Stegostoma tigrinum: one gene and its partners. Each later gene encodes a partner of the first gene's protein in a complex. Links are inferred from orthologs where the notes say so. Each region holds a gene or a part of one and is shown on either strand. Other genes may lie near its edges. The genes, in order: b9d1, tmem107l, tmem231 and mks1.

What was found.
Region 2: b9d1 (region 1) and tmem107l share a complex: the UniProt entries of both Homo sapiens proteins name them as parts of the tectonic-like complex. The link is inferred for Stegostoma tigrinum from reciprocal best matches to the Homo sapiens genes B9D1 and TMEM107.
Region 3: b9d1 (region 1) and tmem231 share a complex: the UniProt entries of both Homo sapiens proteins name them as parts of the tectonic-like complex. The link is inferred for Stegostoma tigrinum from reciprocal best matches to the Homo sapiens genes B9D1 and TMEM231.
Region 4: b9d1 (region 1) and mks1 share a complex: the UniProt entries of both Homo sapiens proteins name them as parts of the tectonic-like complex. The link is inferred for Stegostoma tigrinum from reciprocal best matches to the Homo sapiens genes B9D1 and MKS1.

What each region holds. Positions count from the first base shown.
Region 1 is NC_081376.1:40,138,519-40,146,421, reverse strand, and holds the start of b9d1 (B9 domain-containing protein 1), read left to right. Parts: upstream 1-4,903; 5' UTR 4,904-4,975; coding exon 4,976-5,038; intron 5,039-5,048; exon of another isoform or gene 5,049-5,135; coding exon of another isoform or gene 5,136-5,183; intron 5,184-6,907; coding exon 6,908-6,976; intron 6,977-7,903. UniProt on the Homo sapiens protein: Component of the tectonic-like complex, a complex localized at the transition zone of primary cilia and acting as a barrier that prevents diffusion of transmembrane proteins between the cilia and plasma membranes.
Region 2 is NC_081385.1:39,294,974-39,302,173, forward strand, and holds the start of tmem107l (transmembrane protein 107 like), read left to right. Parts: upstream 1-4,195; 5' UTR 4,196-4,795; intron 4,796-5,419; exon of another isoform or gene 5,420-5,514; intron 5,515-7,200. UniProt on the Homo sapiens protein: Plays a role in cilia formation and embryonic patterning. Requires for normal Sonic hedgehog (Shh) signaling in the neural tube and acts in combination with GLI2 and GLI3 to pattern ventral and intermediate neuronal cell types.
Region 3 is NC_081369.1:41,520,816-41,528,480, reverse strand, and holds the start of tmem231 (transmembrane protein 231), read left to right. Parts: upstream 1-4,650; 5' UTR 4,651-4,740; coding exon 4,741-4,879; intron 4,880-7,665. UniProt on the Homo sapiens protein: Transmembrane component of the tectonic-like complex, a complex localized at the transition zone of primary cilia and acting as a barrier that prevents diffusion of transmembrane proteins between the cilia and plasma membranes.
Region 4 is NC_081380.1:13,791,013-13,798,186, reverse strand, and holds the start of mks1 (Meckel syndrome type 1 protein), read left to right. Parts: upstream 1-4,172; 5' UTR 4,173-4,919; coding exon 4,920-4,993; intron 4,994-7,174. UniProt on the Homo sapiens protein: Component of the tectonic-like complex, a complex localized at the transition zone of primary cilia and acting as a barrier that prevents diffusion of transmembrane proteins between the cilia and plasma membranes.

The DNA of each region.
Region 1 (7,903 bases):
CTACAATTAATATCCATAAGAGTTTGTATCAATAGACAAAAAAAAAGCTGCCATATGGGGTATTGTCAGCCTGTTCAATTTTTCAGTGGACAATGGAGGACATTTTACAAGGTCTACTCCAGGTCACCATTTATCTAGATGATTTGCTAATAACAGGAAAGTCCAATAAAGAGCACTTACAGAACTTGGACATAGTCCTTAGACATTACACCCATTTGAAGATAAAGTGAGGGTGATCAGAGGTGCTCTGGAGCTTATGTCTTTCCATGTGCTGGTGGATTATTATGGAAAGTTCATACATGACCTGGCCTCCAACCTGGCACCTTTGCATCAATTAGGGTGAGGCAATGACATAGCGTTGTTATCACTGGACTGTTAATCTAGAGACGCAAATAATGTTCTGGGGACCCAGGTTCGAATCCTGCTATGGCAGCTGGTGGAATTTGAATTCAATAAATATCCTGAATTAAGAATCTAATGATGATGGTGAATCCATTGTCGGTTGTCAAAAAAATGCATCTGGTTCACTGATACTGTTTAGGGAAGGAAACTACCATCCCTACCTGGTCTGGCTTGCATGTGACTCCAGACCCACAGCAATGTGTCAGAGATAGTAGGAACTGTAAATGCTGGAGATTCCAAGATATACCAGGTGTAGAGCTGGATGAACACAGCAGGCCAAGCAGCATCAGAGGAGCAGGAACGCTGACGTTTCAGGCCTAGGCCCTTCTTCAGAAATTTCTGAAGAAGGGTCTAGGCATGAAGCATCAGCCTTTCTGCTCCTCTGATGCTGCTTGGCCTGCTGTGTTCATCCAGCTCTATACTTTGTATACCCCACAGCAATGTGGTTGAATTGTAACTGCCGTCTGAGCAATTAAGGATGGGCAATAAATGCTGACTAGCCAATGATGTCCTCATCCCGTGAATGAATAAAGAAAAAAACACTCTGACAAGAGTCAGCCTTGCAAATGGTGATGTAGCCAAGACTTGGCTTTCAGGAAAGTGAAGAAATAGCTGTCATCCTTTATGTTGTTGGCACACTAGGATCCCAAATGAGATCTGGTATTGACATGTGATGCCTCCCTGTATATGGCATCAGGGTAGAATTAGTTCGTGCGTGAAATGATGGAGAGGAATGCCCAATAGCGTATGCATGCAGGAACTCGGTTAATGCAGACTGTAAGTATGCCCAGATAGGGAAAGAAGGTTTGGTGGTCATGTGTGGAGTCAGGAAGTTCTATTAATACCTTTACGAACATAAATTTGTAATAATAACAGACTACAAACTCCCACTAGGTTTACATATAGAGTACAAGACAGTGCTGCCCATAGCTTCAGACTCAATTTAGTGGTGGACTTTAAAAATGAGTCTGTATGATTACAACTTGGAATACTGTCTGGGATGTCATGTAACAAGTGCGGATGCATTGAGCCGCCTCCTGCTGGCAGATACACCACCAGTGGTGCCATCACTGGAACAATCTGTAATGGTTTTAAATATTTTGGACACGCTTCCAGTCACAGCTGACAATATCAGACTTGGGACACAAAACAAATCTGGTCCTGACAAAACTGAAACAGCTAGTACTGATGGGGGAAGCCAAAGGTCCATTACAACCAGTATTGAAATCTTTTTGGACTTGGAGAGACCAGATCACAGGAGATGACACATATTATTATGAGGAGCAAGAATGATTGTCCTGAGCAAAGGTTGCCATCAGATACTGGCTGAACTCCACTAGTGTCATTCAGGGGTTTCCAAAATGAAAATGTGGGTGAGGAGTTATATCTGGTGGCCAGGATTTAAGGCAAATATAGCTGCATTGGTTGGGTAGTACCTAGAGTGCCACAAGGACAAAAACTACCACCAACACCTCTCAAACATTCATGGTAATGGCTGGGTAAGCCCTGGACTTGATTTCTGTTGACTATGCAAGTCTTTCCATGGGCTCAATGTTCTCAGTCATTTTGGATGCCCACTCAAATGTGCATAGAGTTAGTTAATTAAACATGGGGATGATGATAAAAAAAACTGCGCACATCTTTTGCAATACATGGACTGCCAGAAGCATTGGCCACAGAAAACTGACCATTGTTTACCAGCAGGTATTGAGTATGTCCTCAAGTTGACTAGCATTCAACATATAAGGACAGCTTCATACCATCCATGATCCAATGGTCTAGCAAAAAGAGCACTCCAAACTTTGAAGGCAAGCTTAAAGAAACAGCCTACACCTTTATTAGATATCAAATAATAATAGTCCCCAGTAGTAGCTATTCAGTTTCCTAGGTTGATTGTTTTACACTCCTTTGTCTGCCCAGTTGTTCTTCTCTCTGTCTAGGCTCTATCTGGGTATATGAATAGTAAGGGTTTAGAGAGATGTGGGCCAAATGCTGACAAATGGTACTAGGTCAGGTTCAGATGCCTGGTCAGTGCAGATTGGTTGGGCAGAAGGGTCTGTTTCAGTGTTGTGCGAGTCTATGACTCTATAACTAATGGAAAAAAAAGTGTGTTACTGTCCACTGCCCTCCCCATCCATAGGATGTCCCAAAATGCTATAACCACTCCAGTGCATTCACTGTTGCAATAAGGAAAATGTAGCACTCAGTTTGTACCCAATTAACTCCCAAAATGTGACCAATGTCATAATGACCAGCAAATCTGCTATAGTGATATTGATTAAGTCAGTCAATGATTCAACCTTAAGGCCCATCTCAGCATTAGTTTTGGAATTATAATGCTACCCTTAAACACACAGCATCCAGTCATCAAATTACAATTTATCCAATACATTCATACACATGCTTCCCTTAGTCACATTCAATATTTTGGCTGTTTAGTTCAAATTTTAATGGCTGGGTTGAATGTTTCTTTTGTTGTACAAGATAGTGGTTTTGAAAGATTTATTGATGAGGTTCATCCCAATCTGACGATATCACACAGTCTGAATAGAGAATAGGCAATTTACGAGGTCCCTATTTAGACTGCTGTGCCACCTGCAGCTCCTGAAAGCCTTTGTAATTATGCTTACCAAATCAAGATAAATTACACTAATGGTATCATGCAATTAACTATATCTTATTGTTCAGACAAGATGGGCAAAACAAGGATGACGGGATTCAGAATCTTGGCGAACACAGTTCTTAAGATACACGATTGCTTCAAAATTAAATAACAGATCTCAAGCTGAACGAACAAGTACACTATTCTATTCAGAAGGCCCAACAGCTGATGATGTTAAAAATAATCAAATCTAATTTAAGGGACAGATACCGTTGAGAAGTTCTAATGCCTTTAATACCTATAATTACTTTAATCTGAGAACAAATTCCAATGTTTGACAAAAAGGTTCAGCATGCAGGAGAATCCGTTAACAATTTTATTATGATCTCTATAGATTAGTGGAAAACTGGCTGCGGAGCATTGAAATCTGAATTCATAAGAAACAGAATTGTTGTTGGAATTATTGATGAGTCTTTGTCAGATTTATTATAATCGAAAGAAGATTTGACTGTGAATAAAGCTATTCAAATTGTGTTGGAAGCAGAAATCAGGAAGGGTTTATTGATATAATATAAGAGAACAGGAAAACCTTGCCATCGGAGACCAACAAAGTCTAATTTAAGAAGTATGAACACTCTACAGACAGACGTGACAAATAAACACAAAATGTACACTAACAGCAAATACTGTGAGTCACTATCTGTATGGTGGAACAAAAAACCTCATGAGCGTGTCTAGCTAAAATGAAAGAATGCTACATTTGTAAAACTGTTAATTGCTTCCAGAAAATGTGCAGAAGTAGGATACAGTTGGAAAGCAGCAAAAAGCCAATGCTTACTCGCACAAACAGCTTCATATTTTAGAACCTCCTTTTTCAAAATGATACTCTTGTTTGACAATGTACCTGATTGATTAGAAGAGATGCATTCCTATGTGAAATTGGTGATTCAACTGACCCACATTGGCATGCTGCATGTTCATGGATATCCATCAATTTTAAAGTTTATAAAGGTGTGACTGTCACTCATATTATTGCTGAAGAAACAGCAGGTACAGATACTGAGATGAAACTACATGATGCAAGTGAAATAACTGTAAAGCATGAAGGTATTCTAGAAGTAACACTGCATAAAGAAGCATATGATAATTGAAAATATTTATGTTATTCACAAGCCTCACTTTTAAGTCATTACAGTATCTTAATCTGAACATCCTTGCAGTAACTGAAGGACTTCAACTAATTCCAAAAGAACAACTGTAGAAAAACAACCTTGTTGAAGAACTCTAAATTCATGATGGAATTCAAAAGGACAAAGAATCCATTGAGATCACAGATGTTGACATAGGAGGTTTTTTCATACTGTCAACAGGAAGGAAGCCACTGTCTTTACATGGGTTGTGGGGATTTTAAAAATTTCTATAATGACTGAAGAGCTATTGGATGACCAACCTTAGAAACATTTGTCAGAAGAAACAAATACTGAAAACAAGAATTTGTGGTACAATCTAGTTGAGCTTATTCATTAACCTTTAATGGATGCGCATAAAGCAAAACAACACACTGGACAAATTTACAAGACAACTTTGCCTTTATTGCTCGATGACGATGAAAACAGAAACTCAAGAGCAGCATTTCAATCCTGTACACTGCAAGGAACCAAGTACTTGTTTCAACAGAGCAGCTGTCTTCGTTAGCACAACGGTCTAAAAAGGTGATAGTTCATTTTTCACATTTAAGAATTTAGCAAATATGATAGGGTTAGGGTTTTAAGAATGATTGACCTTAATTTTTTTGACTGCTCCAGATTTGCAGCATGCACGTTCGGAAAAATGAGTTAGAGGTTCCGGCATTGGGGCTGGAATTCAGCTGCTGCCAATCACATGCCGCGCAGGCGCAAAGACAGTGACGGGCGTCGTCCTGGAGATGGTGAGGCTGGGAGTCGGTGGGATAAACACGTAAGATTGAGAAACATGCTGTCCGGAAAACCGTCTGTGTTCCTTTTAATGGTCAACGGGCAGATCGAAAGCGCTGATGTAAGCATTGCTTTTATTCAATGTAAGAGGGATGTTATGCCCTGAGTGTTTCGCCTGTATGATCCAGTTTCTATCCTGAAACTCAGTCTGGATGTGAATGTGTCCCGGGCCTGCTGGCGGCAATCCCCTCGGCAACCAACCCATAGTAAGTGCGCTTTAGAATCCTTGTGGCGAGTTGCAAAGAGTATCCTTTATTAGTTACCAATTTCAAAGAATATCCGTTCGTTACTTTGTAAACCAGCTATTATAGTACATGCAATGCAGAGCTCAAGTTCTGAACGCCTCCCTTAGACTAAGGGAGAAACATTTAGTGTGGGTATCTGGTGTATCTGCCAAGGGATCATTTTTGGTAGTCGGAATAACATCTTAACTGCCGCATTTCCTGATCAACACATTCGCAAACAGATGGTCCGCACTTCGCCATCACCCTCTCTTGCAGACTTGGTTCCAGTTAAACCATCGAAGAAACGAAAAATAATGCAAATGCTGGAGTTTTTCTCTTCCCCCGAGGCTACCAGACGTGCTGAGTATATTCAGAATTTTCTGTTTTTATCCCACTTAATCAACATCTCCTTGTTTTCAAATCCCTCCATATTGGGTTTTTCTCCTATTTAAATAATTTCTTCCAGCTCGTCTTATAGGAACTCTGCTTTCATTCTGGGGTCTTGAGCTTGTCTTATTTTAATAACATCATCACTGTGGTCACGTATTCCACTGTGTAAGTCCTTAACCCTGAAAGATTTCCTCACTGCCCCCGCTCCCCCTCCCCATTCTGCAGTTCCTTCTTTTAAACTTGCCTGTTGAGTAAACTTTTGTTCACCTGCCTTAATACCTCCTTATAAAAAATGAACATTCACTGAATTTGAATTAAAACATTTTGGGAGAGCTTTCCAGTTTATTCAAAGAATGCATTACCAATTATAGATTAGAGAAGAGGGTGATAACATTCGGAGTTTTTAATATGGTCTCACTCCAATGACTGTGCTGCTGTCAAAACAGACTCTAGGAAGAACAGTTATAATGTTGATATGAAGGTGAACCCTAGAAAAGATTAGTACTGTAACAAAATGGCCTTGAAGTCAACTCTTTTGAGTCAAAGTTTAAGTTCAGACCTATATTTGCCATTTTTTTTTTAGCTAATAAGTGCATGTTTAGTACTTTGTTTTGCATTAGGAGCAAGGCTCAGTTTTCAGCTCAGAAATACAAATTAAGGTTCTACCAGCCGAAACATCAAAGTATAGGACCAAGCAGGCAAAATGGAGTGTGTTACCATGAATGTGCATGGGAGTTTAAGACACTCTAACACAGACCTCATGTGGCAACAGACCAACAGAAATGTGCCTTCCTGCACTAACCCATATGCTTAATTTATATGTTTAAGTTGACCCCTGTTGTAAGGATGTTTTGATCCCTCAAACATTGACTGACTGCACTGAAATTGTAGTAGCCAGATTGCAACAAAACTGTTTATTCTCCAAATAATATTCAGCCCTTCAGATATAAACTGTTGTTTCAACCCAGGAGAAAGTTATTTCTAATTATTGTCTCATTATATGACAGTGAATAAGTCGCAATGCCAGACTTCTAACAAAATTTGTATTTCTATCTGTATGTTGCAGTTTTGTAACTTTCTCCTGGTTGAAAATTTTGATTCTGTTAAAGCCTTCATGAGATAAAGACTCAAATTCCTGCATGCTGTTAACTGATGTTATAAAAATACTAATTTGATTGCAGATATTTTGTGGGTCTCTGATTTCAAAACATACTAATCTCACCAATATTGAATGTGAAACTTTAAAACCAAGCATATCAGCATTTGAAAAGTTTTGCAATTTTTATTCATTTTAATTCAAATTATTTTTTCCCCAGTTTCCAGAGTTTGATGAGCTGTATTGCAAATACTCCTATGTGTATGGACATGACTGGGCTCCAACAACAGTAAGTGTTGATGTTAGTTCGTTCAGCTCATTGTGGGATAAACATTTAATCCTATAATAATTAATAAATGACTACAAGCTTAGTTACAATGACAGTCTGAATTCTGTGCTTTTCCAATGTAATATAATTTGAATTCTTGGATATCCTTGGATATTGAGTCATTCCAGAATTACAGCTGCCTTGTAGCACTATTCTTATGTTATAGGAGCTAATTAAAATCATAAATTTAAATGAAATGTCACCTCAGTGGTGATGCACTCTTAATGATGTCATTATAAACTACTGAACTCCTTAATGATTGTGCTATTTTTGTTAATCCAAATATTTATTGTAAGAATACTTCTAAATGAAATAAATTGCTTGAGGTTTTTTTGTTGCTAGATAAATAACCCCAGAAACTACACCCCTAGCCTATCTAATTTAAATAAATTGTTAATAAGATTGTGAAGTAGTGTGCTTTTTGTTGATTTTCAACAGTTTCTATACACTGTGTTGTGTACAAAATGTTCTTTTGTAGAAAATAAATTTTAGAAATGTTGTTTTGAAATAATTGAATGGTTTAGGACACTTTCCTGACATTTACAATAACTAAGTCTGTTATGTCTTTTAGCTAATGAGATAGCTTTTTGCATTGTAGACAAATTATCATTCAGAAAGATCATAAATTGACACTCTACAGGTGTAACTAGACTCTCAGTAAAGTGTAGGGGTTAATACATGAAATTTTCATGCCACATCTTTTGGTCTGTAAGAAACAAATAGAACTACAGATTTATGTGGTACACCAAAATTTCCTGAGAATTTTATTACCATGAGAATGACACTGACTGAAAGAAACTTAATTTTACAGGTGAAGATTGGAATTGGAATAAAAACCTCTCTTTGCATATCATCTACATTGTATTTTAATATTTAGTACACATTTTT
Region 2 (7,200 bases), on another chromosome or scaffold:
CCAAATTAAGGGGAAATCAGCATTTATATAGTCTGAGAGGAGTATGCTGATTATTTGGTGAATATCCCCTGGCAGACACAGGGAGGAAATGTAAACTCCATAAAGATGGTGGCCTAAGGCTGGAATTGAACCCAATCCTAAATGCTGTGAGGCAGCAGTACTAAACACTGCGCTACTGTTGCTCTGAGAAATAGGCCACTGATTGGCAGAGACGGTCACTTTTCCAGATATGTGTTAATGACATAAACATTAGTGTACAGGACACCATTTCACAATTTGCAGATGAGAGGAAATTTGGAAGAATTATAAACTGTGGGGAGGATAATGAATAGGCTTGTTCAACAGCAGATGTATGGACAACAATACAGTCTGCCCAAACGGTCTTAATCAACCAACCATTGGTGTTCTATATGCAGGAAGTACAGGCAGAGGAACCTGAAAGCAGATGCTTGTTCAATCAGAGGCTGCTTCTTTTCCCCCATTTGATGCTGATGGGTTTGGCATTGAGCCTACCAGCCGTGCATTTGGGAGAGAAAATGACCTCTAATTGGGAAAACAGTGAGCTAGGCAAACATTAGTAGCTTAATCTAGCCTGATGACTGCAAACTGGGAGCAGTGACAATTCAACTTCTGTTTGAGGGGGAGGAGAGGGGATATTAGCCTAAATTGTGGTTGTGAGGGAAAAATATTCTGGGTTATGGAGCAAATCAGGAGGAAGATAAGGTTCTCTTCTTCCTATGCAGATGCCAGTCCCTTAATGGAGGTAGTCAAAAGGTGGTAAGCTGGGTGAAAGTGAGGTTTGCAGCAGGAAAGAAAGCATGAGTGTTTGAAAGATAGCATGTTGTTGTGTGTAAGTAAAATAGAGATATTGCATGAGTGAGAGAGTGTGAAAATAAAGGAGACTGTGTGTGAGTTGGTGAGGGGTGTTGAAGAAAGAGGCTGTGTGATTGTGACTATGTGCTATAAGAGAGAGAGAATCAGTGAAAATGTGTGTGTGACAGAGGTGGAGTGTGTGAGAGACACTCTGATTGGGGGATCGAGAGAGTGTGTGAGTGAGAAAGAAAGACATCTTGTTGAGGTTGTTGCAGAGCAAGCTCTTCCTCAAAATATACCAGCGCAAAAGGTACTAAGGCTAGATTGTTGAAGATTCTTTCTCAAAACATGTCTTTAGTCCTAATAGTTCACAGATTCCTACTTCAGTGCAAAATGCTTCGTTAACTATACCCAGCAACTTTGCTGCAATGACCTCTTACTCGTTTTCAGAACCAGAACATCTAATTTAATTTATCCTGGAGTACTTGAGGGCTGCAGCACCAACCATCAGTATGCAAGGAGCAATCATCTATGCAGTGATACAGAGGGCCAATAGAATGAGTGACACTCCAAAACTACACATGTTGCTCTCATAAAGCAATGGAGATTAGCACTTCAGTGCTCTAGTTGTAACTCCATGTGATTGTATGTAAGTCTCCTCAAGCTTGGCTATCAGCAACACAGAGGATTTTACAGAAGAAAGAGATCACATTAAAATAGTAGAACATGCTTTCCTGCTCCTCTGATGCTGCTTGACCTGCTGTGTTCATCCAGCTCTACAATTTGTTACCTCAGATTCTCCAGCGTCGGCAGTTCCTACTATCTCTGAAACCATATTTGCGAAGTGTTATTTTTACTGCAATAATATTGACACCCAACCACCCAAAGTGATTTTGTGCTTCTTTATTCTTTCTTCTCCTATTGCCTTGTATTTAAATCAAGTAAGTCTAAACTTACTCTCTTCTGAACTCCATCGGATAGAAGAATCAACTGCCCTCTTTTCCTTGTGAGACAACTCACTCAATCCACCTATCAATCTGATAAGCAATCTCTGAACCTCTTTGAACACACTTATATCCTTCCTCAAATGGGGAGATTAATAATGTAAACAGAACTCCAGATGTCACCAATGTCTTGTATAACTGAAGAATAACCTCTTTACTTTTGTACTCAATTTTCCTTGGAATAAATAATAACATTCTATGAGTGTTCCTAATTATTTGCTGTAGTTGTGTGCTAACCTTTTGCTAATCATGATAATCAGTTGCCTAGGGTGACTGTCTATTTGAGTTTGCACATTTTCCCCATGTCTACATGAGCTTCCTCCAGGTACTTCAGTTTCCTCCTGAAGTCCAAAGTTGTGTAGTTTAGGTGGATTGGCATGCTAAATTGCCCATAGCGTCCAGGGATGTGCAAGCTAAGTGAACTAGCCTTGGGAAAAGCAGGGTTGCCAGGATGAGGTGGGGGAGTGTGGGTCTGGGTGGGATTCTCTTCAAAGGGTCCCTGTGAACTTGATGGCCTGCCTCTGCACTGTAGGGATTATACGATCCTATGTATTGGAGCACTCATATCCCTTTGTTGCTCAGGACTCTGTGATCTCTCACAATTTAGTTAATATACTTTTTTTTATTCTTCCTGCTGAAATTAATCATTTCCCACATTATCTGCCACTTACCAGACATTTTCCCACTCACTTAACCTATCTATATTCCTTCATAGCTTTCTTACTTCCTATACCCGACTTACTTACTTTCCTGTATACCTTTGTGCCATCAGTAAATTTAGAAACCATGACTTTGTCCCTTTTATCTAAGTCAGTTATGGGAGTCATACATTAGGCTGTAAAGGCATTTGAGGAAGTGCACAAAAGTTTCACATGAATCATTTAAAGGGTTCTTCTTCAATTATAGAGAGAGATTGGAGATGTCTGGACTTTTCTTTCTTGGAGAGGTTTAAGCGAAGATTTGGTAGAGGCATTCAAATTCCTGGGGGAATCTAGACAAAGTAGACAGGGAGAAGATTATCCTATTGATGGAAAGATATAGAACTTGAGGGCAACGTTTAAAGGCAATTTTGGCAAATGAGGTTTTGCATTCAGGAGGAGACACTGTTACATGCAATGAGTGACTGGGATCTGGAATGAGCTGCCTGAGAATGTGGCTGCAAGTTTAATCAATGTTTTTAAGGATTTGGAATAGTAATTGAAAAGGAAGAATGTCTTTGCCTACACATAATGTGCATAGTAATGGAAATAAGTGAAATGCTTTGAGAGGCCATTGGTTTATTTTATGCTGGAATAATAAAGTGGATCTGTGACAAAAACAGAATTTTCTGGAGAAACTCAACAGGTCTGGCATCATCTGTGGAAAGAAAACAGAGTCAATGTTTCGAGTCTGCTGACCCTTCTTCAGAACTGTTGAATCAATGACTGCAAACAAAAAAAAATGCTGGACTCACAATGTGTTGCGCAACATCCATGGAGAGAGCAAGGCTATTTTTTGAGTCTAGATGACTCTTCAAGGCTATGATGAAAACTCACCTAGACTCTAAACATGAGCTTGCTCAGTTCTGAGGAAGGGTCACCAGACCTGAAACGTTAACTCTGATGTTTCCTTCACAATGCTGCCAGGCTTGCTGAGCTTTTCCAGCAACTTCTGTTTTGTTCCACTGTGATTTTTCGCATTTTTTTGTTTTCAGTACAGTTGCCATCATCTGCAGTAATTTGTTCCAAAATTGTGGTGAATCTATGACTCTGTTATGCGCTGTGCGAGTTCCGATCCTAAATTTTGTTAACTTCCACAACAGCAAATGGAATTAAGGGGTTTATCTTAACTTTTCGGTATAGTTCCAGTCATTCCACAGCTCAAGAAGTATTGGCCAATTCCGCCTCAATTATTGAAGTAGTCAATGTCGTGGGTATCTTCCCAGAATGCAAAGCGAAGCAGACAACTTAGTCACGTGAGATAATAAAATGTGAGGCTGGATGAACACAGCAGGCCAAGCAGCATCTCAGGAGCACAAAAGCTGACGTTTCGGGCCTAGACCCTTCGTCAGAGAGGGGGATGGGGAGAGGGAACCACCTCCTTGACCTGTCTGTCTTCCCTGGATCTGCCTCCCTAACCGGTTCTTCCTCTCACCCATCCCTTCCTCCAGCCCCAAGCCGCACCCCCAGCTACCTACTAACCTCATCCCACCTCCTTGACCTGTCCGTCTTCCCTGGACTGACCTATCCCCTCCCTACCTCCCCACCTATACTCTCTCCACCTATCTTCTTTACTCTCCATCTTCGGTCCGCCTCCCCCTCTCTCCCTATTTATTCCAGTTCCCTCTCCCCATCCCCCTCTCTGATGAAGGGTCTAGGCCCGAAACGTCAGCTTTTGTGCTCCTGAGATGCTGCTTGGCCTGCTGTGTTCATCCAGCCTCACATTTTATTATCTTGGAATTCTCCAGCATCTGCAGTTCCCATTATCTCTAACATAGTCACGCGGACTAGAAAGCGGGAGAAACCCCAGTGCGCAAGCGCGTAGAGTTAAGTCGCTGGCCGTCGTTTCTGAAGCGGAGGCGGAGAGAGACTTGGCAGAGGATTAGGAGAATTGGGAATCTGGGCGGTGAGATGGGGTGTTGGGGATCTGCCCAGCGGGATAGGGAGATTCGGAAATGAGGATGATGTCGTTATTTATGCTCCTGTTTTGGCTTTGCGGTGTGAAGAGCCGCGGTTACCTTGGCAACCTGCCGCCATTTTGTTTAAGGCACCAGCGGCGATAGGCTCGGCTCTTCCGAGAACAGCAGCAGCATTGAGTGTTTCCTCTGCCAATGACTATCCTGTCCAGCGTCCGCGGCCCGTATTACTGTTTCTGACTTCCCATGCCCAACGCTTCCGCAATGCGTAGTAGAACTTCGATCCAGGTGAACCCTCCGCCTCTCGGATCATCGGTAGAAGCTAGACCTGCCTCCTATTTGTGGCAGTAACTATCGTATCTTAGTAAGTTAGTTTGTTTACATATCTGAAAGCTGCATTGAAAAATCGCGGAGAAAAGGTAGATAAGATAAATGGATGGGTGTAGGCGGCCGTAGTAAGGTTAGCGGGAGACAAGGTAGATTCACAGGTGATGAGTGTGTTCAAGAATGAGTGAAGAAGAGATGGGGCCAGGTTGGTGAGGGAATAGGATGTCAGATAGAGGAGGGGTAGGGTGTCAAATGAGTAAGGTAGGATACTGTATGAGTTGGAACGAGTGGGGTGGCAGATAGGTGAAGCAGGCCGGATATTAATGGGACACGGGCTAGAGTGTCAGGTGGTTGAAGGTGTACCATGAATCTCAGGGCTGGTTAGGAATGTGTTAAGTCAGGAGTAGTTCATGTTAGTTAGGAGTTTGGTTTTGGAGGATTTTGGGCAGTGGAGGCAGTAAGGTTGTTGCAATACTGTTAGCTGTGAATAGAGTGGTCGATGTTATCAGAGATAATGGGAACTGCAGATGCTGGAGAATCCAAGATAATAAAGCAGGCCAAGCAGCATCTCAGGAGCACAAAAGCTGACATTTCGGGCCTAGACCCTTCATCAGAGATATGGTTGCTGAAGGATTACTGCAAGTGTTAATTGTTTTATATCCCCTGAGTGACTTCAGATAATTTACAACCCTCCATATGTCAGATCTTTAAAATTACACCCCTTTATGGGGTCACTTTTTTAAAATATGAATGTTTGTAAGTTGGATGTTCATAAATTAGGGATCCCTCTAATTGTGGGTAAATTAATCTTCTTCTGGTTTGTGAAAATCAAATTAGCAGAGGGTGACAATGAGGAAAAATTCATACGGTGTATCCTAGAATAAAATGTTGTGAATCTAACCAGGTATTAGGCTGTTTTAAGTCTGGTAATGTGTATAATGAATGATTTGGGTAAAACTTCCCAAGGAAACAGTGATCGCCCTGATAATATGGCAGAATTTAGCGTTCAGTTTAAGTGGTAGAAACTTGGATCAAAAACAACCAAACTTATCTCCACTTATCTGGATTCCATTTTCTCCCCCTTGGTCCAGGAACTCCCTCCTATGTCTGTGACACCAGCCATGCTCTTCACCTCCTCCTGAACTTCCAATTCCCTGGTCCCCAATACCTCATTTTTACTCTGGACATCCAGTCCCTACACACCTGCATTCCCCATGCTGATGGCCTAAAAGCCCTCCACTTCTTCCTGTTCTGCACACCTGATCAGTGCCCCTCCGCTGACGCCCTCAACCGCTTATCCGAACTCGTCTTCACCCTCGACAGCTTCTTCTTTAATTCCTCCCACTTCCTTCAGACAAAGGGGGTGGCCATGGGTACCCGCATGGGCCCAAGCTATGCCTGCCTCTTTGCAGGGTACGTGGAACAATCCCTCTTCCAAAGCTACGCTGGCCCTATCCCCCATGTCTTCCTCCGTTACATTGACTTTCAGTGCCACCTCGTGTTCCCACAAGGAGCTTGAATAGCTCATCTGCTTCACTAACACCTTCCATCCCAACCTTAAGTTTACCTGGACAATCTCTGACACGTCTCGCTCCATCCTGGACCTCTATCTCCATCTCTGGCATCCACCTGGAAATCGATATCCATTTTAAGCCTACCGACTCCCACAACTACCTAGAATATTCCTCCTCTCATCCACCTTCCTGTAAAAAGGCCATCCCCTATTCCCAATTCGTTCACCTCTGCCACATCTGCACCTGAGATGAGACATTTCAGTCCTGAACATTCCAGATGTCCTCTTTTTTTCAAAAACCGCAACTTCCCCTCCACAGTGATTGAAAATGCTCTTGACCGTGTCTCCCGCATTTCCTGCAACTCATCTCTCATACCCGCATCGCAATAATAGCCAAAACATAATCCCCCTCGTCGTCACGTCCCACCCCAACAACCTCCAAATCCAACGCATCATCCTCCGACATCTTCACCATTTGCAATCTAACTCTACGACCAAAGGTATTTTTCCCTCCACACCAGGATGTGCTTTCCGGAGGGACCACTCTCTCAGTGATTCCCTTGTCTGCTCCACACTCCCCTCCATCCCCACCGCCCCCGGCACTTTTCCCTGCAACCAAAGCAAGTGCTGCACCTGCTGCTATACCTCCCCCTCTTCGCCCATCCTAGGCCCTAAGAAGACTTTACACATTAACAGAAACAGGTGAACATCTGTTTAATGTGATATACTGTATCTGCTGTTCCCGTATTGGCTGCCTCTACATCGGGGAAACCAAATGGAGGCTTGGGGACTGCTTTGTGGAACACTTATGCTCAGCTCACAACAAATAACTACACCTCCCAGTCGTGAACCATTTCACCAACCCCCCCCCCCCCCCCCCCCCCCCCCCCCACACCTCCCCCAACTCCTTAGACGACATGTCCATCCTG
Region 3 (7,665 bases), on another chromosome or scaffold:
TATGAGCTGGAGGGATACAGCAGGCCAGGCAGCATCAGAGGAGCAAGAAAGTTAATGTTTTTGGTTTGGGACCTTACTTCAGAAATAAGGATGGGGAAGGGAGCTGGGAAATAAACAGAGAGGAGGGGTGAGACGAGGGAGGTAGGTTGGATGGTGGTAGGTGAGCGTAGGTAGGCAGTGGTGGGGATTGGTCAGTGAGATGAGTCGGGGGGATAGGTAGGAGAGAAGATGGATAGGTGATTGTTTTTGACTGGTGCAGACTTAGAGGGCCTCTTCCTGTGCTATCAATCTTCGTGAGTTTATGATGGAAAAACGATTAGACATTACCTAAGATCAGAGCCTGGTATATCAATGATTACCACATATAGCAATATGTAATTTAAAAGTATAATAAATTGTGTTGCTTTGAGATCTAAGCCTGAAGACAAGTTCTTGATTTTTCCTTCTCTTTGACCAACCTGTCTTGAGCCTAAACCCCATGCGCCATCAAATTGCACTATAAAAGAAGTTTGAGAACCAGAGAGAACATATTTCAAGTAATTAGCTAAAGACAGTCCCTTTGATATCCCTGGTGATATTCTTTATCTTGTCAAAAGTAAAGTTCCCAGTGGTGTGGAAATTGTTTATAAGTGGATGAAAAACTTTCAACTCAACTGGTTGACAATGTCATCTCCAGTCTCTCAGAAGACAATCTTCAATCCTTGCTTAATGCCTTCACGGAAGCTTACTGAAGAATTGGTTTCAGCCTCACCCTAAAGATAACTCAAATCTTTTATCACCTGTCGCAAGTCAAGTTCTTGTCCATCCATCCATTAAGAACAACAGAGAAATCCTCCCAAATGTGGAAGATTTCCCCCACCTGGGAAGATAGCTGTCATCTATGGCTGACATCAATGACATGGATGACCGTGACATCTGCGCTGATACTAAAACCCTTCTGTATAATGCAGTCATCCTTCTGACTGTTCTACTTGGCTCCAAAACTTCAACAATGTATAAACACCAACTCAAGGTCCTTGAGAAGTACTATCAATGCTGTTTGAGATAGATTCTCTGATCAGCTGGGAGGACAAGTGAACTAACATCAGCATCCATGAAGCAAGAACACCAGCATCAAGACCACGATGATCCAAAAACCATCTGTTTTGGACTGCCACTCGCTTAAGATGCCTGAGCTTTGACTGCCAGAGCAAATCATCTTTGCCCAGTTTGAGGAAGGCACTTGAGCAAGAAGAGGACAAAGGAAGCATTTCAAAGGCTCCCTGAAGACTTACCCCAAGAAATACATCATATATGTCAATGTATGGAAGGACCTTTGTTTAGAAGCAACTGACTTGGAGGAAGGTCCTATTTGAATGGGCACAATTCTTTGAGAACACCCATCAGCGGGAGGAAGTCTGGAAACTAACTAAAGAAAGAAGTGCCAGTGACCTCAAAGCCAAGGACCAATTCCATCACCTAAAAACATCTACCAAATGTGTGGTAGAACAGGAAGTTCTAGGATTGGATTTATTAGCTATGCAAGAATTCACAGGACCAATAAACAGCGACATGGAATTCCGTAAGTGAACAATTGTGATTGTTGGTGATTGATGAAATGACAACTTGTGGTGACTTGAAGACAATCTTTTACATGTAACTGGAGGTAAAGTTGTGTGAGCTGCCACAATGGTAAAGAGCTGGTTCAGTTGATGCATTCAAGCACAATTTAGATTGTTATAATGAAAAAGTACAGAGTCATAGAGCTGCAGTTTGGAAACTGACCCTTTGGTCCAACTCATCCATGCTGATCAGATATCCTAAATTAATCTGGTCCCATTTGCCTGCATTTGGCCTATATCCCTCTAAATGTTGTAATTGTACCAGCCTCCACCATTACCTCTGGCAGCTCATTTCCATATATGCACCACCCTCTGTGAGAAAAAAGTTGTCCCTTTTAAATCCTTTCCCTCTCACCTTAAACTTAAGCCCTCCAGTTTTAGATTCAACTATCCCGGGGAAAACACTGGCTACATTAAGCATATAAGTCCTGCCCTGATTTGCCTTTCCAAAATGCAGCACCTTACCTTTATCTAAATTAAATTCCATCTGCCACTCCTCAGGCCATTGGCCCATCTGATCAAGATCCTGCTGTAATCTGAGGTAACCTTATTCACTTTCCTCTACACCTCCAATTTTGGTGTCATCTGCAAACTTACTAACCCTACCAACTATCTTCACACCCAAATCATTTATATAAATGATGAAAAGCAATGGACCCAGCACTAATCCTTGTGGCACATCACTGGGACTCCAACTCTGAAAAGCAGCACTTTGCCACCACCCTCTGTAGTATACCTTTGAACCAGTTCTGTCTCCTAAGATGCTGCTTGGCCTGCTGTGTTCATCCAGCTCCACACTTTGTCAACTTCCAATTATCTTTGTATCCAAATGGTTCTGAAGAACAGTCACCGGACCCTGAAACGTTAACTCTGGTTTCTCCTCCACAGATGCTGCCAGACCTGTTGAGATTTTCCAGCAACTTTGTTTTTGTTCCTGTATCCAAATGGCTAGTTCTCCCTGTATTTCATGTGATCTAATCTTATTATCTGAAAAAGGAGGAACTGTACATGGAACAAGTGGGGATTAGCACTCGAGTGATTTGTTTTTTCAGAGAGCGAGCACAGACATTACGGTCTTAATTGCCTCCCTCAGCGCATGGACGAACCTACGATTCTGAGAACGATCAAGCAGAGTTCTGAATGATAAAATGTGAGGCTGGATGAACACAGCAGGCCCAGCAGCATTTCAGGAGCACAAAAGCTGACGTTTCGAGCCTAGACCCTTCATCAGAGAGGGGGATGGGGTGAGGGTTCTGGAATAAATAGGGAGAGAGGGGGAGGCGGACCGAAGATGGAGAGAAAAGAGGATAGGTGGAGAGGAGAGTATAGGTGGGGAGGTAGGGAGGGGATAGGTCAGTCCAGGGAAGACGGACAGGTCAAGGAGGTGGGATGAGGTTAGTAGGTAGGAGATGGAGGTGCGGCTTGGGGTGGGAGGAAGGGATGGGTGAGAGGAAGAACAGGTTAGGGAAGCAGAGACAGGTTGGACTGGTTTTGGGATGAGGTGGGGGGAGGGGACGAGCTGGGCTGGTTGTGTGGTGCAGTGGGGGGAGGGGACGAACTGGGCTGGTTTTGGGATGCGGTGGGGGGAGGGGACGAACTGGGGTGGTTTTGGGATGCGGTGGGGGAAGGGGAGATTTTGAAGCTGGTGAAGTCCACTTGATACCATTGGGCTGCAGGGTTCCCAAGCGGAATATGAGTTGCTGTTCCTGCAAACTTCGGGTGGCATCATTGTGGCAGTGCAGGAGGCCCATGATGGACATGTCATCTAAAGACTGGAAGGGGGAGTGGAAATGGTTTGCGACTGGGAGTGCAGTTGTTTATTGCGAACCGAGCGGAGGTGTTCTGCAAAGCGGACCCCAAGCCTCTGCTTGGTTTCCCCAATGTAGAGGAGGCCACACCGGGTACAATGGATGCAGTATACCACATTGGCAGATGTGCAGGTGAACCTCTGTTTAACATGGAAAGTCATCTTGGGGCCTGGGATAGGGGTGATGGAGGAGGTGTGGGGGCAAGCGTAGCATTTCCTGTGGTTGCAGGGGAAGGTGCCGGGTGTGGTGGGGTTGGAGGGCAGTGTGGAGCGAACAAGGGAGTCACGGAGAGAGTGTCTCTCCGGAAAGCAGACAGGGGTGGGGATGGAAAAATGTCTTGGGTGGTGGAGTCGGATTGTAGATGGCGGAAGTGTCGGAGGATGATGCGTTGTATCCGGAGGTTGGTGGGGTGGTGTGTGAGAACGAGGGGGATCCAATTTGGGCGGTTGTGGCGGGGGCGGGGTGTGACGGATGTGTTGCGGGAGACGCGGTCAAGGGCGTTCTCGACCACTGTGGGGGGGAATTTGCGGTCCTTGAAGGACCTCCGCCGCATCTGCTCCCACGATGAGGCATTCCACTCCCGCACATCCCAGATGTCCAAGTTCTTCAAGGGCCGCAACTTTCCCCCCACAGTGGCCCTTGACCGCGTCTCCCGCATTTCCTGCAACACATCCCAGCCCAGTTCGTCCCCTCCATCCACTGCATCCCAAAACCAGTCCAACCTATCTCTGCTTCCCTAACCTGTTCTTCCTCTCACCCATCCCTTCCTCCCACCCCAAGCTGCACCTCCATCTCCTACCTACTAACCTCATCCCACCTCCTTGACCTGTCCGTCTTCCCTGGACTGACTTATCCCCTCCCTACCTCCCCACCTACACTCTCTCCTCCTATCTTCTTTTCTCCATCTTTGGTCCGCCTCCCCCTCTCTCCCTATTTATTCCAGTTCCCTCCCCCCATCCCCCTCTCTGATGAAGGGTCTAGGCCCGAAACGTCAGCTTTTGTGCTCCTGAGATGCTGCTTGGCCTGCTGTGTTCATCCAGCCTCACATTTTATTATCAAGGATTCTCCAGCATCTGCAGTTCCCATTATCACAGAGTTCTGAATGAGATTTGCGGGTCGGGGTGAGCGGGGGGGGGGGAACGACATCGCCCTCCAGCTCTGATTGGATGGATCTCGGCGAAGGCCGGACCCTGTCGTCCTGTGATTGGGCGGTACCGCTATCAGTCGCGATAGCCCCGCCTCTCACCGCGCGGCCTGACGACAGTTGCCCTGGGAAGCTGACGCCAAACTTGAATCGAAGTGGTGGTTTCTCCAGGAACACTCGGCTACCAATGGCCATCTACGAAGTTTATTCGCACCCGTCTTTAATTCGTTACAAAACAAGCATTTTCACCAAAGCTACGTTGTTCTTATTGATAGTCGTGGCGCTGACGTACATCCCGCCGCTTTTGGTTGCCTTCAGGAGTCATGGTAAGAGATTTAATTCAGTCTGCTGACAGACCATTGGCCTACTTAAATACTTTCTTAGATATGTTCGAATTAGAAATCTGAGTGATGTGGTTTTTATTGTTGTTTCTACGGTTTGGTGTAAATGAAGCTAATTGTATGACGTATTATGTTTGTGAGGGAAATAGTACGATTTATGGAACCTTTGGTGGGACCATTACTGGAGAATTTTGTGTAATTTTGATCTTTTTAGCAAAGAAAGTAAATATTTGCTTTAGGGGGTAATTAGACTGATTCCCGGGATGAGGGGTTTTCCTAGAAGAATAATTTATAGGTTGTGTCTGTGTTAACTAGAATTTAAATGAATGAGATCTCACTAAAGTATACAAAATCCTAAAGAGATATGATGCGGTCAGTGCAGGGAAGATGATTTCCCCTTGCTGGCAAGTTTGGAGTTCAAAATCACCACCTCAGAATAGAGGTTTGAATATTTGAAGGACTGATTTGAAGTGAAATTTCATTGCAGTCAAAGGTTTTAACGTTTGGTTGTTTGGTGGGGAGTGGGGAGTGAGGAGTGAATGATAGATGGAGATGGAGATGGAAATTGAGGGAAAAATAGATAGGCAGACAGAAGTATGGGTAAAGGTCAGCCTGGGAGAATCAATTGCTGCTAATGGAGACTGTTAGTGGCTGAAAGTGGATTGTATATGGTGGCAGTTCATGTGATAAAGTAGAAAATAAGATGCTGTTCTTCGAGCTTGCTCTGAGCTTTGCTGGAGCAAGCCTGAGACATCGGTTTGGGAATGTGGTGGTGTTAAAATGGCAATAGATTTTGGTTATTAATACATATGGGGAAACTGCAGGAAAGTGGAATAGGAATGGAAGATTCCCCATAAATGATTGAGCTACTCTCGCTCCCTTTTATATGTTCTGTTTGGTATTTTTTCATGAATGGGTAGAGGCTTGTAAATAGTTGTCTGAATTTGAACGCATTTTGCTTCTGCATTGGAAACCATTTTACAGTTTTGTAAAATTCTATCATTGGATCTGTACATTACTAGCAAGGGCAGCATTTATTGTCTTTGAACTGGGTGACTTGCTAGCCTTTTTCAGTGGGCAATTATGAGTGAAACACATCAGGGATTCGCATGTAGACCAAACTAGGTAAGGATGCCAGATTTCTTTTCTTGAAGAACATTCGTGAACTAGATTGACTTTTACAAAGTCAATGATAGTTTCATGGTCACCCCAAGACCAGCTTTTAATTCTAGATTCATGAATTCAACTTAAACGCCACCAAGTGCCAATGGTAGGATTTAAAATGAGGTCAAGAGAGCATTAGCTTGAGTCTCTGGTCCACTGCCATGACCACTATGCCACTAGATACCCTAAAAAGTAAAATAAATGATCTCCTGAAATTGAGATTGTTGTCTTCAAAATTGACATTCAGAATGTCTGAATGTGGGAGTGATAGGCTATGTTTAGTGAAATTGAGATGGATATGGATAGGCAAAATATCTCTTCTTGTCCTTCTTTACCGGTCTGCATCTTTTGTCTGGTTGACCAAGCCATTCCCCAGTAACATCACTCCATGCCATCCAGTTGTGGGATTGCACTTGCCTGGTTACAATTATAGCTATCTAATTATAGCCAGCAAATCACTTGCATGACTTCCTGTTCCCAGTCTCCTAATATTCATAACACAGTGTGGACCTGGAGGAACATAGCAGGCCAGCCAGCATCAGAGGAGTAGGAAAGTTGACGTTTTGCGTCAAGGCCCTTCTTCAGATTTCTGAAGAAAGCTCCCGACCTGAAACATCAGCTTTTCTGCTCTGACTCCAGCATTTCTGCTCTGACTCCAGCATCAGCAGTTCTTACTATCTCCTTTTTTCATTTCTTTTATCCATGTGCTGCCACTTGGTGACACATTTGAAAAGGGTGTGAGATTCTGCATGTTTGCTTGCTGAACCCAGTTCTAGCCCACTACTATCTGTCATGACCCCTTCATGCTGTCTAAAAATTCCCAGACTGCTTGGTTGATATAAAGTACATGTTGAAGAGAAATTTCCTCCAACTAATATTGGGAAGAACAAAGCTGCTGTAATTAATTGTTGCTGTCAGGTAGCACCTGTTCAGCAATGATCTGCTCACTGATGTTCACTTTGGATTCTGCCAAGGCCACTCAGCTCCTGATGTCATTACAATCTTAATTCAGATATGAACAAAGAACTGGACTTAAAGTGAATTGAGAGTGACTGCCTTTCACATGAAGGCAACATTCAACTCAGTAAGGCATCAAGGAGCCTGAATAAAACTGGGTACAGTGGGAACTGGAGAGCAAGCTCTTCACTGAATGGAGTCATACATGAAAAGGTTGTAATTGTTAGAGGCCAAACATCTCATTCCCGGGACTAGTGTCCTAATCTCAAACACCTTCACTGTGTCATCAGTGACCTTCTGTCCATCACAGGGTTAAAAGTGAGCGTGCAATCATCAGTGAACAAATGTCCAGAATTATTCATAATTTGTGCCCATATGCAGCATTGCAGACTAGAACTAATAGGTGGTAAGTAACAATCTCACAGTACAAGTGGCAAGCAATGACCATCTCCAATAGGACAGAATTTAACATTCGGTGTCTATTCATTAATGTAATGTGAAAGCCACCAGCTAGGGCGGCATTCATTACCTATCCGTAGTTGCCCTTGAGAAAGTAGTGATGAGCTGCTTTTGTTACTGCTGCAGTTCTTTTGATAGGCACACCCACAATACTATTTGGGAGATGTTTTCAGGATTCCACTGGAATGATA
Region 4 (7,174 bases), on another chromosome or scaffold:
TTTCTGATCCTTACTTGTCTCATTCTATCTTAAAATGTTTTTTTCTTAATGTAACCCTCCCTCTTTCATGGATCAACTCAAAGGTAAAGCTACTCACTGTCTCAATTTAGTTAATTCTCACATATCCCAAATGAAAAGCAGGTTATAGTAAGTTGGCAACCTGTTTTTAGACCTGCTTGATCTACCTTTCTTTTCTTTCAACTTCACTAAAAAAGTTGGGTAACATGTGAAATAGCTTATTGCCTGTTTCCATCCAGCAATTGAAGTTGTAAGTACCCCAAATTTCAGTTACATATTGCATAGTGTTGTTTTGGCTAATTCAGTATTTTGTCCTTGTGTATTGCATCTGTATTCCACTTCACTACTTCTTAATCCTAACATTATAACTTTTAGCACATGCCCCAGTGAATAATTTGTATGTTTTAGCTTCATTTTTGGGGGGGGGATCTTGAAAGTGTTAAAGACATGTCCTTTATATGAAAAAGGCAAGTATGTTTACAGTATGGCCTCTTACCGTATCTCATCCACAGACCCCATCCCACCAATTCCCCAGCCCAGTGGAGATTATGTACCTAGCTTCTTGCTCCTTTTATATAGTGGATCTTTTAACCACTGGGTTCTCTTTCAGAGTTTCTGAAGAACAGAGATTTCCTAATTACAATATGGAGACACCTATCTTGTTGATACAGATTTTGCTTTTCATGGAAGTGAAGCCAGGACAATGTGAAACCTATTAAAAGATTGTAATTTCTGAAGAAAAATGCATAAGAGTTATATTTTTGAATACAAAGAGCTAAATAGACTGATCAATTTGTACATTGAATATTTTTCTTTGCTATTCCACTTAGCTTGCTCTATTTGAAGGTAACTGTCATTTTTGTTACTGTTTGCTTTTAGTCCAGGACATGTGTAAAGTTTGCTTTGTATTTATGGCATTTGTGCAATGGAATGGAAACCAGCCAGAATGTTCTGGAGCATTCAAACAGGCTCACTTTTTTTTCAAAATAAGGTTTGAATTATAGTAAATTAATTTTCCTATGATATGATGGACAATTCATTTTTGTGTTGTACTGGAACATGTATCGTTAAGTTAAATACTGATAGTTCTGATTTGTTTGGAAAAGTAGTTGAGTTTCAATCTCAGACAACACAAATGTTGATGAGGGATTCTAAATGTTGTCTGTATAAAAAGCCTTCATTAGTATTAGTTCAGAGAGGCAATAGGCATTGCTTAAGGAAAGTCCATGCACTCAGTGTATGATACATCTTTTTGCATTGCAGCCAATATTAATAATTAATTTGTGAATCACTTGAACTCTGTTTTAAATGATTCAAAAATGTAATTAAATTCCTTTCATAATTTAAGAAAAACTTTGAACTTTATTGCAAGTGCTATTTCCGGCTTTTTTTTGCCTCAAGTAAATTTGCCCAGCCATGGAGAAAGAATGTTAATAATTTGTCATGCTTTTGCAGTATGACGCTCCAAAGAAATGATTTGAAGGGTATATATACATTGTCAGGTGGAATATGGTGCTTAGACTGCACTCTATTCATAGTGGCAGACTTTAGAAACACCACTTATAGAGCATTCAGTTTTACAAAATGACCAATTTGATTCTATTGGATATCCCAAATTCTAAACAATAGTTTTTCAGTTAGATGTTTATATTTTCTTTTAAAATTTTCAAATGGTAAGCACCAGCCTTGGCAATTGGTATAAGCACATGTGTATATTTTTAAAGTATTTGTGTATTATGGCCATTTGCAAACTCCACTGTTTAGGATAAAGCACTTACTGAAAGTTATTTTCTGATATTTAGTGAAGCACTATAAAATGAGTGCTGATTCTCTCCTATTGCCTTTGCTGTGTTATTGACTTCAAAATCTGTCTCCTGTTCATGAATATGGAGACAGAAACAAATCACTGGCGTGCCTCAGTGATAGAAATTTGCTAAAGATGCAAACCATGATGTTTAAAAATACTTTTTTTACCTCGGAAGTGTTGCCTTTCATATTGTAAAACCTAAATGACTATTTAGATTGCTTTTTGAAATGCTTGTGAAAATAAAGTGTTGCAATGCATTAAAAAGTGCATTATTATACTTTGACTTCTTATATTCTAGGTGATTATAATACATCTGGTAAATTTAAACTTGCGATTTGTAATGTGATATGCCACCCCACATAGACACAATAGGCAAGGTTAATGCAGTTTGGTGCAATGTACCTGAGATTTCAAAAGACCAAAGTGGATTCCTGACTAAATTGAGGTTAGGAACTGAAGGAGCAGACTGACAACCTAGTGTTCCACAGAATGCTGTTTGCAACTATTATTATCTATTATTTATATAAATGTTTACCACCAAATTAGAGGTTTTGTTTATACTGATAAAATATAACAAATGGTAACGTGCAGATTGGGCATGTAAGTGACAAATGATGGGTGTAAGGTGCTGTGGTTTGGTAGGAAAAATAAGGAAGTTATCTTGCAAAATAAGTTAATGTGGTATAAATTCACAAATCATGAAAATTAACTGTGCTGGTTAACAAAGCTCTAAAAATGCAAATAAAACATTCAGGTTCAGAGCTTATATTTTTGTATTTAATTAACTTATTAGTGTTAGATTTGTATTGAAATTTAGACCACATATTGGAATACTGGGCAAATATCTGGTTTCCATTATTGCAAAAGGAGTGTAAAGTAACTTTTGGAGATGTATTCTTGTAGGATTTATTTTGCATTAGAACTGAAAGGTTACAACTACCATGGAAGACTAAACAAGCTTTTCTCTGGATTCAGAAGTGATTGGATTGAGGCCTAAGATTTTAAAGGAGCTTAATGGGGTGGAGAAGATATTTTCACTTGTGGAATAATCCAAAATACAGGGCCATAAATACAACATAACCATTCATAAATATAGCGTAAAACTAGAGTAATTTGACAACACCAAACTGCAAATCTTCTAAGCTTGTGACCTCTATGAAGTCCTGTATAGTAGTGAGATCAGGACTACTTATGGTAGGCAGGGTTAAAAGCTGAGGAACTGCTGTCCCAATTGTATCCTCAGCATCTCTTGGCAAGACAAAAATCACTGACTCTGAGATCCTGGTTTGTGATAGATATACACATTACCAAAAATCTGTAGTGACTTGGTAATGATGTTGGATAGATGATGACTTATGTGGTAAACTGGACATTGAGTCTAATCTCAATAAATATGGAGCTCGAAAAGCACAGCATCTGAGGAGCAGGGAAGTCAATGTTTCCGGTTAAAACCCTTCCAGCATCTGCAGTCTTTACTATCTCCAAGTCACTGTATGAACATCTGCTGGATGTCCATACCTCTGCAACAACATACTTACAAATGAAAACAGCAAACATTGATGTAGGCAATTAGGAGACAGCCACTGAGTGCTGAGGATGATTATTCAGAGGGAAAGCAGAAGAGGCGAGAAGAAATGGGAAGATCAGCTAGCCTAGAAGTGGGCCCAGGGAAAACCAAGTTTTTAAAGGCAGAGACTACAGTTTAAATTTTTCGACAAGATCTGTATCTTGGGTTGTGGATGAAGTTGTAGACATGCTTGCTGAACTGGTGGGCTGGTTGCAAATGTATCATCACCCTGCTAGATAATATCGTCAGTGCACCTCTGGTGAAGTGTTGGTTTTCTGTCTGGCTTGTTATTCATATGTCTCAGTTTGTTGGGGTGTTTGGTACCACTTCCAGCTGTGTTTTTCAGTGAATTAGACCCTGTGTACAAACTAATGTGTTTGTTGATGGAGTTTGGTTAGAATACCAGGCTTCCAGGAATTCCCTGGTGTGTTGCTGTTTGGCTTGAGCGATTATGGACGAGCCTACTGTGCTGGAGTAATACTTCTGCATCACAGTAAGTGATGTTTAACAGAGTTGACCACCAAAGTGCAAGCAACCGCCTTGTGAGTTGGGAGGCTGACAAACTAATAAATTTAGTAAGGAATTTTGGGGAAAATTCTTTAATCAATGTGATAATGTTAAAACAACATTCAGGACATACTCAGCAGGTTTGGCAGTATCTTTGGAGAAATAAATAAAGCTAATAAAGTGCAATGGCTCATTTTAAGCAATCGTGTGGAGTTAAACTGCAATCACACATGATCTTAGTAAATGACAGAGCAGGTTCAAGAGTCCAGGTGGCCTACTCCTCCAATTATGTATGTTGACATATGGGAGACAGGTTAACTGATGTTAAACTGATGAGTTGAAATGAAGTAAGGGGGGGGGGATGCATTTGATCGAGATAAAGACTTAAAATGATTGGGCTGTAAATACTATGAAGTACAAGTGTGATTCTATACAAGCAATGATTGCTACCAAATAGCACCCAACAGCCATGGGTATGGTTGAATTTGCCCTGGGTACTGTTGGAACACTGGACCCACTGAAGAGAAAATATTCTCCTTTAGTTTGCTAAATTTCCTTTTCTGTAATGTGAACGCTAATTGCTGGTGCCCTTGTAGAAGGGCATCTTATGTGATTGGGCCAAACCCAAAAAGAGTGAACGATTCTGGGGAGACAGACTGTGCAAGTTACGGCAGTTTGAGTTGGTGGTCGACGAGGAGAAGGGTCTGCAGAGGTAACAAGGCGTAGAGCTGGATGAACGGAGCAGGTCAAGCGACATCAGAGGAGCAGGAAAGCTGACGTTTCGGGTCTGGACCCTTTTTCAGATAATCATCTGCAGAGGGACAGTGATGGAAATGTCAGCTTGAATTATCGGGACTTACAGCGTTTGTACAGTTGATAACCGGGAGACGTGAGAGCCACGACCGCTGCTGCCTGAGCCGGGCTGGGGCACAGCCCGCAGCTGGAGCTGACGCGGGGATCCGCTCCGACACGAGCTGCAGGAGGCCTGAGGCCTGCTCCGTTACCAAGGAAACCGCGGCTATGGCGGAGTGCGGCAGTGAGCGGGTGGAGGCGGTTTACCGGACCCTCGACCCGGTGAAAAATCTCCGAATCCGGTATGGGCGGGGCGGGATGAAGGGTTTTTTATTATTTCCCCCTTGGAGTGGAGTGGAATGAGAATAGCATATCCTGGGGGCAGGAGTAGGAGTGAGACAAACGCAGGGTCAGGGCCCATTGTGAGAATAATTAATTATTTTGTTGTAAATGACATTAATGTAGGGACGGGGAATGATTGTGTTTAATGTCTGAGGACTGTGTAGAGTGAGGTGGTAGGTCATATTAATGTGGGTTGGAGCATTCAGCTGTGGCATATATAGGATAAAAGAATAGAAAATGTTTTGCTGTTTCAGTATGGGAAGGCGATGTCCTAAAAGGAGGAAGGGGCATTCGTTAACTCTGATTTTGCTTTCTTTACAAATGCTGCCAGACCTGCTGAGCTTTTCCAGCAACTTCTGTTATTCGTCCTAAAAATGGTATTATCACTAGACTGTTAATCCAGAAACACAGCTGGTGTCCTTTAAAGATAACAAAATGTGAGGCTGGATGAACACAGCAGGCCAAGCAGCATCTCAGGAGCACAAAAGCTGACGTTTCGGGCCTAGACCCTTCATCAGAGAGGGGATGGGGGGAGGGAACTGGAATAAATAGGGAGAGAGGGGGAGGCGGACCGAAGATGGAGAGTAAAGAAGATAGGTGGAGAGAGTATAGGTAGGGAGGGGATAGGTCAGTCCAGGGAAGACGGACAGGTCAAGGAGGTGGGATGAGGTGAGTAGGTAGATGGGGGTGCGGCTTGGGGTGGGAGGAAGGGATGGGTGAGAGGAAGAACTGGTTAGGGAGGCAGAGACAGGTTGGACTGGTTTTGGGATGCAGTGGGTGGGGGGGAAGAGCTGGGCTGGTTGTGTGGTGCAGTGGGGGGAGGGGATGAACTGGGCTGGTTTAGGGATGCAGTAGGGGAAGGGGAGATTTTGAAACTGGTGAAGTCCACATTGATACCATATGGCTGCAGGGTTCCCAGGTGGAATATGAGTTGCTGTTCCTGCAACCTTCGGGTGGCATCATTGTGGCAGTGCAGGAGGCCCATGATGGACATGTCATCTAGAGAATGGGAGGGGGAGTGGAAATGGTTTGCGACTGGGAGGTGCAGTTGTTTGTTGCGAACTGAGCGGAGGTGTTCTGCAAAGCGGTCCCCAAGCCTCCGCTTGGTTTCCCCAATGTAGAGGAAGCCGCACCGGGTACAGTGGATTCAGTATACCACATTGGCAGATGTACAGGTGACTCTCTGCTTAATGTGGAATGTCATCTTGGGGCCTGGGATGGGGGTGAGGGAGGAGGTGTGGGGACAAGTGTAGCATTTCCTGCGGTTGCAGGGGAAGGTGCCGGGTGTGGTGGGGTTGGAGGGCAGTGTGGAGCGAACAAGGGAGTCACGGAGAGAGTGGTCTCTCTGGAAAGCAGACAGGGGAGGGGATGGAAAAATGTCTTGGGTGGTGGGGTCGGATTGTAAATGGCGGAAGTGTTGGAGGATCCTTGTGACTCCCTTGTTCGCTCCACACTGCCCTCCAACCCCACCACACCCGGCACCTTCCCCTGCAACCGCAGGAAATGCTACACTTGTCCCCACACCTCCTCCCTCACCCCCATCCCAGGCCCCAAGATGACATTCCACATTAAGCAGAGGTTCACCTGCACATCTGCCAATGTGGTATACTGCATCCACTGTACCCGGTGCGGCTTATTCTACATTGGGGAAACCAAGCGGAGGCTTGGGGACCGCTTTGCAGAACACCTCCGCTCAGTTCGCAACAAACAACTGCACCTCCCAGTCGCAAACCATTTCCACTCCCCCTCCCATTCTCTAGATGACATGTCCATCATGGGCCTCCTGCACTGCCACAATGATGCCACCCGAAGGTTGCAGGAACAGCAACTCATATTCTGCCTGGGAACCCTGCAGCCATATGGTATCAATGTGGACTTCACCAGTTTCAAAATCTCCCCTTCCCCTACTGCATCCCTAAACCAGCCCAGTTCGTCCCCTCCCCCCACTGCACCACACAACCAGCCCAGCTCTTCCCCCCCACCCACTGCATCCCAAAACCAGTCCAACCTGTCTCTGCCTCCCTAACCGGTTCTTCCTCTCACCCATCCCTTCCTCCCACACCAAGCCGCACCCCCAGCTGCCTACTAACCTCATCCCACCTCCTTGACCTGTCCGTCTTCCCTGGACTGACCTATCCCCT